2 linked regions of the Oryctolagus cuniculus genome follow. The protein of the gene in region 1 purifies or fractionates together with the protein of each later gene. This does not show direct contact. Links are inferred from orthologs where the notes say so. Each region holds a gene or a part of one and is shown on either strand. Other genes may lie near its edges.

What was found. The genes of interacting proteins can lie anywhere in the genome.
Region 2: the proteins of VAMP8 (region 1) and STX12 purify together in Homo sapiens (affinity purification with mass spectrometry; 3 studies listed by BioGRID and IntAct, counting the BioPlex papers as one, with this or other methods). This does not show direct contact. The link is inferred for Oryctolagus cuniculus from reciprocal best matches to the Homo sapiens genes VAMP8 and STX12.

Annotation. Positions count from the first base shown.
Region 1 is NC_091433.1:117,071,156-117,076,095, forward strand, and holds the start of VAMP8 (vesicle-associated membrane protein 8), read right to left. Parts: upstream 3,095-4,940; 5' UTR 2,660-3,094; coding exon 2,657-2,659; intron 1,344-2,656; coding exon 1,188-1,343; intron 1-1,187. UniProt on the Homo sapiens protein: SNAREs, soluble N-ethylmaleimide-sensitive factor-attachment protein receptors, are essential proteins for fusion of cellular membranes.
Region 2 is NC_091438.1:143,815,364-143,819,781, reverse strand, and holds part of STX12 (syntaxin-12), read left to right. Parts: intron 1-1,895; coding exon 1,896-2,001; intron 2,002-4,418. UniProt on the Homo sapiens protein: SNARE promoting fusion of transport vesicles with target membranes. Together with SNARE STX6, promotes movement of vesicles from endosomes to the cell membrane, and may therefore function in the endocytic recycling pathway.

The sequences.
Region 1 (4,940 bases):
GGTCAGCCTTCAAAGGGAGAATGTTTCATAGGAGAGAAATTTAAGAATGCAGGGGCTAGGGCCAGCATTGTGGTGCAGTGGGTTAAGTTGCTGCCTGCAACACAGGCATCTCATACGCTCCACTTCTGCTACAGCTCCTTGCTAATGTGCCTGGGAAAGCAGCAGATAATGGCCCAAGTTTTGGGGCCCTTGCACCCACATAGGAGACCTGGATGGAGTTCCAGGCTCTGGTTTCAGTCTGGCCAAGCCATGACTGTTGCTATTCGGGAAGTGAACCAGCGGACGGTTCCCTCTCTCTGTAAATCTTTTTGTTTGTTTGTTTTTAAGATTTATTTTATTATTTATTTGAAAGGCAGAGTTACAGAGAGGCAGAGAGAGAAGTCTTCCATCCATTGGTTCACTCCCCAAGTGGCCTCAATGGCCGGGGCTGGGCTGAAGCCAGGAGCTTCTTCTGGGTCTCCCACATGGGTGCAGGATTTGGGCCAGTCTTCTATGCTCTGCCACAGCAGAGAGCTGGATCAGAAGTGGAGCAGCCGGGACTCAAATCAGCGCCCATATGGGATGCCAGGACTACAGGTGGCAGCTTTACCGGCTATGCCACAGCGCCGGCCTCTGTAAATGTATTTTTTTAAAAGATTGATTGATTTATTTGAAAGGCAGAGTCACAGAGAAGCAGAGGTAGAGAGAGAGACAGAGACAGAGAGGTCTTCTATCCATTGGTTCATTTCCCAAATTGCTGCAACATCTGGAGTTGGGCTCATCAGAAGCCAAGAGCCTGGAGCTTCTTCTGGGTCTCCCAAGTGGGTGCAGGGACCCAAAGACTTGAGCCATCTTCTACTGCTTTCCCAGGCCATAGCAGAGAGCTAAGAGTAGACGGGACACAAACCAGTGCCCACATGGGATGCTGGCACTGTAGGCAGCAGCTTTTACCACTACACAGTAAAATGAGCGGGCTGACTGAGCCACCTGTGTGCCTCAGAAAATGTCTCTGTGGGTCACCCCACCCCAACCCCAGTCATCAGACTCATTCCTTGGTCCCATACCAATCAATGGAGCAGAGCAGAATAGGAAATGGGGACCCAGCTCATGCCAATTCCTGAAATAGATGCAAAGGCAACAGAAACAGCAGAGCCTCGCCCCTCCCGTTCACCATGCCCTCCCTTGGTCCCAGGGTCTTCCCGTCTCACAGTGGCTTCCAGGTCCTCTGTCTTGTTGCGCAGCTGGTCCAGGTTTTCTCCTCGTGCCAGGATCCGCTCCACATTCTGGGTCATTATATTCTTGACTCCCTCCACCTCACTCTGCAGGTTCCGCACTCGGTCATCTCCGCCTCCGCTGGCCGCCTCCTGCGCACAGCACAGGGGCTAATTAGGCCAAGTGACAGAGGACCAGAGGGAGACCCAGCCACAGAGGCCAGGGCAGTGGAAGGCCTCAGGTGGACGTCAGCCTTTACAATGCTTGCATTGTTTACAAACTATCTTTTCCTGCTTTAATGCATCTGTAAGCCCCAGCAGGTGAGATCTGATGCTGGACACCATCACTCAAACTTTCGGGTTCCCAGGGCTCCTGGCAAGGAAGAAAGCAGCATGGCTAACTCCCTCTCGGCTGCTTCCTCCTCCTCATGGGGTCGCAGGCACTGCAGAGCTGGCATCTCACAATGTCCCCCTCCAGCGCAGACCCCCCGCGATTTACCAAGTCCTAGAGCCCTCCCTTGCTTCCTGGACCCCCCTGAGTCTTCATTAAACCTGTCAGTGCCAGCCAGCAGGACGCCCCACCTGGCCCAAGCCTGCTCCGGCTCCCGGACAGCTGCTGGAGGATTGCTTCGGCTCCGGGGCTTCCTGGACAGCCTGACCCTAGTTCCATGGCTATGACCCAGAGCCAACAAGTCCCTCACACGGCGCCATGATCCGCTGAGCACACACTTCTGCTTTCCCCACCTCTCAGCAGAGCCTGTGCAGATACTAAGTGAAAACAGGCACCTGGGCGCTGGGGGAAATGGAGGACAAGTGCTGCCCGCCTGCTGCCTGCCTCATCCTGCAGGGTTCATGATAAGGTTTTTGATCAAGGAGGGAAAACAGGCCTCCCAGCCTGGCCCTCGGGGGGGGGGGGGGGCAGAACCTTGCCAAGGGTGTGGGGCGAAGCTGGATTATCGCAGAGAACCAACTTATGGGTCTTTTACAGGCCCCCGGCTGCTTCCTTAGACGCGGTACAGAGGGATCCTTTGGGTTTCTGCATAGGGAGAAAGCGGGAGGCCCGGTGGGAGAACTCCCGCCGCCGCTGGCCTGGAATCTGAGCCGGGAACAGCAGAGGCGCTTGCTGTCCAGCGGTGTCACAACACCCAGTTTGTCCCTGCCAGGGGAGGCGGGGGCGGGGGGCGGCAGAAAGTGGCAGCAACTCTTTGCCTGGAATTCGGACGCCCCCCCAACCCCCACCGCGGCCCTGCTCGGGGCCAGCACGGAGGCCAGGGGAGGGAGGTAGTGGGGCAGGGACAGGAACACCGCCCAGGCGGCTCAGAAGTATTTGCGGCCAAGTTGTCAGAGAGGCCACAGACAGCGCCGGCCCCAGCCCTCTGACTTCACCACGCACCCTCCCCTCTCGGCAAGGCCAAGCCCCAGTCCCCAGCCCCCTTTAGAAAGCAGCCCCCGTCCGGATCGCTCACCATGTCTGCGAGTCGCTGGGGCCCGTCAGCGGCGGAGCTCACCCAGGCTGCTTCCTCCCGGGCAGCCCTCGCTCCACTTCCTGCTTGCTCCAACTTTCAGCCCGCCCCTGCCCACCTCCATCCCTGCGCTCGCGCCACACCTAACGCAGGTTTCCTCAGGTAGGCGGGCTCCCGCCCCCGCCCTCCCAGTCTCCACCCAACCAGGGCTTAAACTTAAAGCCACAAGGCTCCCCGGGAGGGCACCGAAGGTCTTGCCACTTGCCAGAAACGACAAAGCAAAGATCAAGCAACCTTCCTAGGTTTCCTGAGGCGGGACAGACTCCTTTTTATGTCTGGGATGTCTTAAGCACCCTGCGGGCCGAGATCACGTGAAAACAGGTGCAGAGGTGACAAGATCTTGCCGAAGCCCTTGTACTTAGGACTGCAAACACTGGGAAAAGTCTGGAATGCTGTCACCCCAGGCTCGGGTGTCAGAAAGCTCAGGGTTACCGGCTGCATGCTGCCTAGTGAACTTCCTCACCTCTTTCTGTATTGCAGGTGCAAAGGAGTAAAAGACAGCTCACACAATGTGCCTGACAGTGCCTTGAACAAAATAAGTAATCAGGAAATGATGGCCCACCAGCCCTTCCCCTTCCCTTCCCAATTGCCTTGCATGTGCCTTGGGAGGACAGTGTGTGTGTGTTTTGGGGGAGGTTGCTGACCCTATCAGTGGTCAGAGGACAGCCCAATGAACCAGACAGGGACGACCCAGGGCAAAGGATTTTTCCACCAACCTGGCCCTGGGCCAGAGAAAGGCCAGAAAAAAAATCCTCTCTTCCTGGATGGTGTTTATCAAGACACAAGAACAGTAACAGGGACCTGCAGAAGGGAACAAACATTCTTGCCTCTTCCCAGAAGAAATGGCAGTTCCAAAGAGGAAATATCAACTTCACCAACACATACTTTTAAAAAGAGAGAGAGATTTATCTGAAAGGCAGAACACCAAGAGAGGACAAGAAACAGAATAAGAGTGATCTTCCATCTGCAGGATCATTCTCCAAATAGCTGCAACAGCCAGGTCTGGGCCAGGCTGAAGCCAGGAGCCAGGCACTCCATCCAGGTCTCCCATGTGGCTGGCAGGGGCCCTGGTACTTGGGCCTTCCTCTGCTGCCTACCCGAACACGTTAACAGGAAGCTGGATATAAAGTGGAGCAGTCGGGACTCAAACCAGTGCTTTTAAAAAGTCTTTAATACATTTTGTCTTGAGACATCTTTTTTCTAACTTAAATACAATTTTGTCCCCAATTAGGTTGTAAGTTTATTAGATTATACAGACATGAATTTTAGTGGCCAGGACAAATAGCCTGGGAAACAAAGTGTGTACCAGCCTGCTTTGGCAAAGAAACATGGCTGCCTCACCCTTCTCAGGTTGCCACAAGGCCAGGTGGAGGAGGAGTGGAATTCTTAGTCTCTACTTGTGTCATCCAGACCAGTTGCCATTAACCACTTGGGCTGTTGAGTACTTGAAATGTGGCCAGTCTGAACTGAGATGTGTTGTAAATGTAAAATACACACCAGAGTTCAAAGACGTAGTATGAAAAGAAGAATGGAAATATCGCATTCATAATTTCATATGTTGATGGCATGTTAGAATAATGTCTCGGGGGGTGAGTATTATGGCGCAGTTTTTAAACCACAGCTCAGGACACCTGCATCCCATATCGGAGTGCCAGTTTGAGTCCCGGCTACTCCACTTCCCATCCAACTTCCAGCTACTGCCTGGGAGGCAGCACATGAAGGCCCAAGTGCTTGAGTCCCTGCCACCCACATGGGAGATCCAGATGGAGCTCCGGGCTTCTGGCTTTATTCTGGCCCAGGCTTGCTGTTGCAAGTATTTGGGGAATAAACCAGATGGAAGATGTTTCTCTCTCTCTCTCTCTCTCTCTCTCTCTCTCTCTCTCTCTCTCTCCCTCTTTCTGTCTTGCTCACTCTGCCTATCAAATAAATAAATTAAAAAGAAAGAAAGAGAGAGAGAGAGGGAAATGGAGTAGGATCCCCAGAGTGGGAATCAGGGTTATGATAGTTGAGAAGTTATTAGGCTCTCGCCTGCCACTGCCAACCTTAACATGGGTGGGTGTCCCCGGGGGAGCTGACCAGTGGCCTAGACTCAGCAATCATCAGCAGGTAGAGTCCAGAGTGTCCAAAGAGGACCACCATAATCACACAAGTGGGCCAGGTGTTTTTGCACCGGGGCTAAGTTGCTGCCTGGAATGCCTGCATTCCATGTCAAAGTACTTGATTCAGT
Region 2 (4,418 bases), on another chromosome or scaffold:
CATTTCTGAGAGGAAGAGTGTGGTGGGGGCAAGAGGCGTGGAGTCACCACACAGACCCCGGGAGTCAGGTGAAAGCAGGCCTGAGGCAAGCAGCCCACAGACTCGTTTATTTCAGTTGCTACAGCTGCTTATATAGCCAAGGCAGCCAATCCCGTCAAGGGGCAGTCTATGCCCTAACCAATCACAGCCTGTTGCCAGGCAGTTTCCAAAGCCATCCAGTCACAGCCTGTTGCCAGTCAGGCACTGTTGTCATGTGGTTTCCGAAGCCATCCAATCACGACCTGTTGTCAGTCAGTTTCTGTTGTCAGTGGCCATCTTGGTATGACCTTTTCACCTTCTCATTCCACCACATATGTCAGTGGCCATCTTGACATGACCTTCTCACTTTCTCATTCCACCACAGAGGATGGCCCAAGTACTTAGGTCCCTCCCACCAATGTGGAGACCAGGATGGAGTTCTTGGCTCCTGGCTTCTGCCTGGCCCAAACCTGGGTATTGCAGCCATCTGAGGAGTGAACCAATGGATGGAAGATCTGTCACTCTACCTTTCAAACAAACAAACAAATAAATCTTAAAAGGGAAATGAGGCCGGTGCCGCGGCTCACTAGGCTAATCCTCCGCCTTGCGGCGCCGGCACCAGGTTCTAGTCCCAGTCGGGGCGCTGGATTCTGTCCCGGTTGCCCCTCTTCCAGGCCAGCTCTCTGCTGTGGCCAGGGAGTGCAGTGGAGGATGGCCCAAGTGCTTGGGCCCTGCACCCCATGGGAGACCTGGCTCCTGCCATTGGATCAGTGTGGTGCGCCGGCCACAGCACGCCAGCCGCGGCGGCCATTGGAGGGTGAACCAACGGCAAAGGAAGACCTTTCTCTCTGTCTCTCTCTCACTGTCCACTCTGCCTGTCAAAAAATAAAAATAAAAACAAACAAACAAAAAAAGGGAAATGAGTAAAAAAGGAGGACAAAATAAAAGAGATCTGTGGTGGGTAATTGATAATCCACATAATAAAAGGTCAAACCATAGGTTCTTGTAAGATATTTGAATTATGACAGGAATAATGTCAAGGTGAATAAAAAATTCCAAGAAACCCTTGATGTCTGTGTGTTTGGGAGAGACCTTGACTCATTAGGAATAGGTATGAACCCACACGTCTACGGATCATTTTACCTCTAATTCAGAGTTGCATTCCTCGGAGTTCTTGGGTATCTGCTTACTCACCTCTAAATTAGCACAGCTCATCTTCTAGGAATATTAAGAGGAAAAGCAGACAATTTGTATCTGAAGGAGTTATCTTTTCTTAACTTCCCTAAGCTAATCCCTTAGACATATTTGTGACATTAGTTTAGAACTTAATATGCTGAATTTTATCATAGATCTCTATCCATCACCCTACATGATGTTCTCGAGTTCCACGGAGGTCTGGGGGACTCTCTTATCAACTTCGCATCTCCAGCACATGGAGGCTGTTCTGTAATACTGTGGCCAAGAAGGATGGTTCATCCATATGTTGGGAAAATGCACAACAGTGGATTTCAAGGTGTTTTGGGCCTACTATAATAGGAAGCATGCCTTCAGTGAGTTCACATTGCTTTCCTTGTCTGGCAAATCCTAGCAAGACTTTAGAGTATACCCTTCAATGGAACCAGCCAGGAATCCCAACCCTCGTAATTCCACTTCATCTCAGCTTTGCCTATGGAAGCTGACACTCTGTTTCCTTGGAGCCTATTACCAGCTCTTTGCCTCTTGATATGAAGAGTGTGGCCCTCCAGGACTTCGTGTTGATATCAGAGGAGTTGTAACCCTGGAAATGAGTCTGGAGAGGCTTTGCTGGCAATGGCAGTATTGTAGATAGGTGTTGTCACAGCTTGAGCAGAGGACTCAGTGTATCTGTCTCCCTGTAGCCATGAGGAGTGGAACCAGATGCAGAGCCAAGAGGACGAGGCGGCCATCACCGAGCAGGACCTGGAGCTTATTAAAGAGAGGGAGACAGCAATTCGGCAGCTGGAGGTAAGAGCCAAGTTGTGTTTCCTGTTTGACCGTCTGCAGCTATCTGGATTTAGTACACTTGAATTTTTTCCCAGTTACTATGAAAAATATGAAATGAGGCGTGTATGAGTTTTGTATATTGTCTGTTTCAGTGTTAACAATGGTGAGTTTAAACCATTGTCAGGATATAGGCCTTGGTGCTCAGGAGTACCCGAATTGTTTCCTCAGTCACGTGGTCTCCTTGAGAAAGACACAAGAAGAACAGAGCAAGGGAAACAAATATTTTACTGCTCACTGGGACTGCACAAATCCACTTATGTGCATGTATTTTATGGTAGTAAATGATAAAATAGACAATATTGTAAAAAAAGAAGGCAATATGAACTGAACATGCTACCTGGGAAGCAGCAAGATCACCCAAGCCCAAACAGCCTAGAGGAGAAGCTGACATGCTGGTACGGACAAATTCTGCATGCACTAGCCCTAAATTGAGCCTAAACTGGGCCTTACGACAAAGCCTATGAGTGCCTCCCAGCAACAACAATTTTAAAGATTTATTTATGTATTTAAGGAGAGCAAGAGGGAGAGACAGAAAAAGATGTTCCATCTGCTGGTTTGCTCTCCAAATGGCTGCAATGGCTGAAGCTGGGCTCATTTGAAGGCAGAAGCCAAGAGCTTCTTCTGGGTCTCCCACTGGAGTACAGGGGCCCAAGCACTTTGGCCATCTTCTACTGCTTTTCCAGGCCATAGTAGAGAGCTGGATCATAAATGGAGCAGCCGGGACTCGAACCAGCGCCCATATGGGATGCTGGCACCGCAGATGGAAGCTTAGCCTACTAGGCCACAGCACTGGCCCCGACAATTAAATCTTATGACATACTTTTTTTTTTTTCTCTCTCTCTTTTTTTAAATATTTATTTATTTACTTACTTGAAAGAGTTATACAGCGAGAGGAGAGCCAGAGAGAGAGAGAGAGAGAGAGGTCTTTCATCTGATGGTTCACTCCCCAATTGGCCGCAGTGGCTGGAGCTGTGCCGATCTGAAGCCAGGAGCCAGGAGCTTCCTCCACGACTCCCACGTGGGTGCAGGGGCCCAAAGACTTGGGCCATCCTCTACTGCTTTCTCAGGCCGTAGCAGAGAGCTAGATCAGAAGTGGAGCAGCCGGGGCTGGAACCAGTGCCCATATGGAATGTTGGCACTGCAGGCAGCAGCTTTACCCACTACGCCACAGCACCGGCCCTTTTTTGCTCTTTAACTCAGTTTCTTTTCTGTTTATGTGGCTTCTCTTTTGCTTTAAGGCACTAAGGGGGGCTGGCATGTGGCATATCGGGTTACACCACCACCTAAGGTGTTGGCATGCCATATAGGCAGGTCCCAGCTACTCCACTTCGGATCTAGATCCCTGCTAATGCACCTGGGAAAGCAGTGAAAGATGGCCTGAGGGCTTAGGCTCCTACACCCATATGGGAGACCCAGAAGAAACTCCTAGCTCCTGGCTTCATCCTGGCTGAGCTCTGCCCATAGTGGCCATTTCGTGAGTGAATCAGTGGATGGGAGATCTCTCACTGTCTCTCTCTGTAACTCTATCTTTCAAATAAATAAATAAATCTTAAAAAAAAATTCAAGTTTGGGCCGGCGCCGCGGCTCACTAGGCTAATCCTCCGCCTAGCGGCGCCGGCACACCGGGTTCTAGTCCCGGTCGGGGCGCCGGATTCTGTCCCGGTTGCCCCTCTTCCAGGCCAGCCCTCTGCTGTGGCCAGGGAGTGCAGTGGAGGATGGCCCAGGTGCTTGGGCCCTGCACCCCATGGGAGACCAGGAAAAGCACCTGGCTCCTGGCTCCTGCCATCGGATCAGCGCGGTGCGCCGGCCGTAGCGCGCCGGCCGCGGCGGCCATTGGAGGGTGAACCAACGGCAAAGGAAGACCTTTCTCTCTGTCTCTCTCTCTCACTGTCCACTCTGCCTGTCAAAAAAAAAAAAAAAAAAAAAAAAAAAATTCAAGTTTGGCTATATATATAGCAAATAACTTCTTTAAAAAAGGCACTCACATGCTACCTCTTTCACAAGGTCTTCTGCACACCCTTCTATACACTATTTGTTAGCCATTTCCTATGTAATCCCTTTCTTATTTATCTGTACTTATTGCATACACACTCCCATGCCACTTAGCCATACGTATCCACAGCAACTTGCAGACTGCCCCAACTATAAAAGAATCTTAGCACAGGTTTGAGATGCTAGTTATGATTCCAGTCACCCTTTGTTTTTTGTTTTTGACAGATAGAGTTAGACACAGAGAGAGAGACAGAAAGAAAGGTTTTGGTCTTCCTTCTGCTGGTTCACCCCCTAAATGGCTGCCACGTCCGGAGCTACGCCGATCCGAAGCCAGGAGCCAGGTGCTTCCTCCTGATCTCCCATGCGGGTGCAGGGCTCAAGCACCT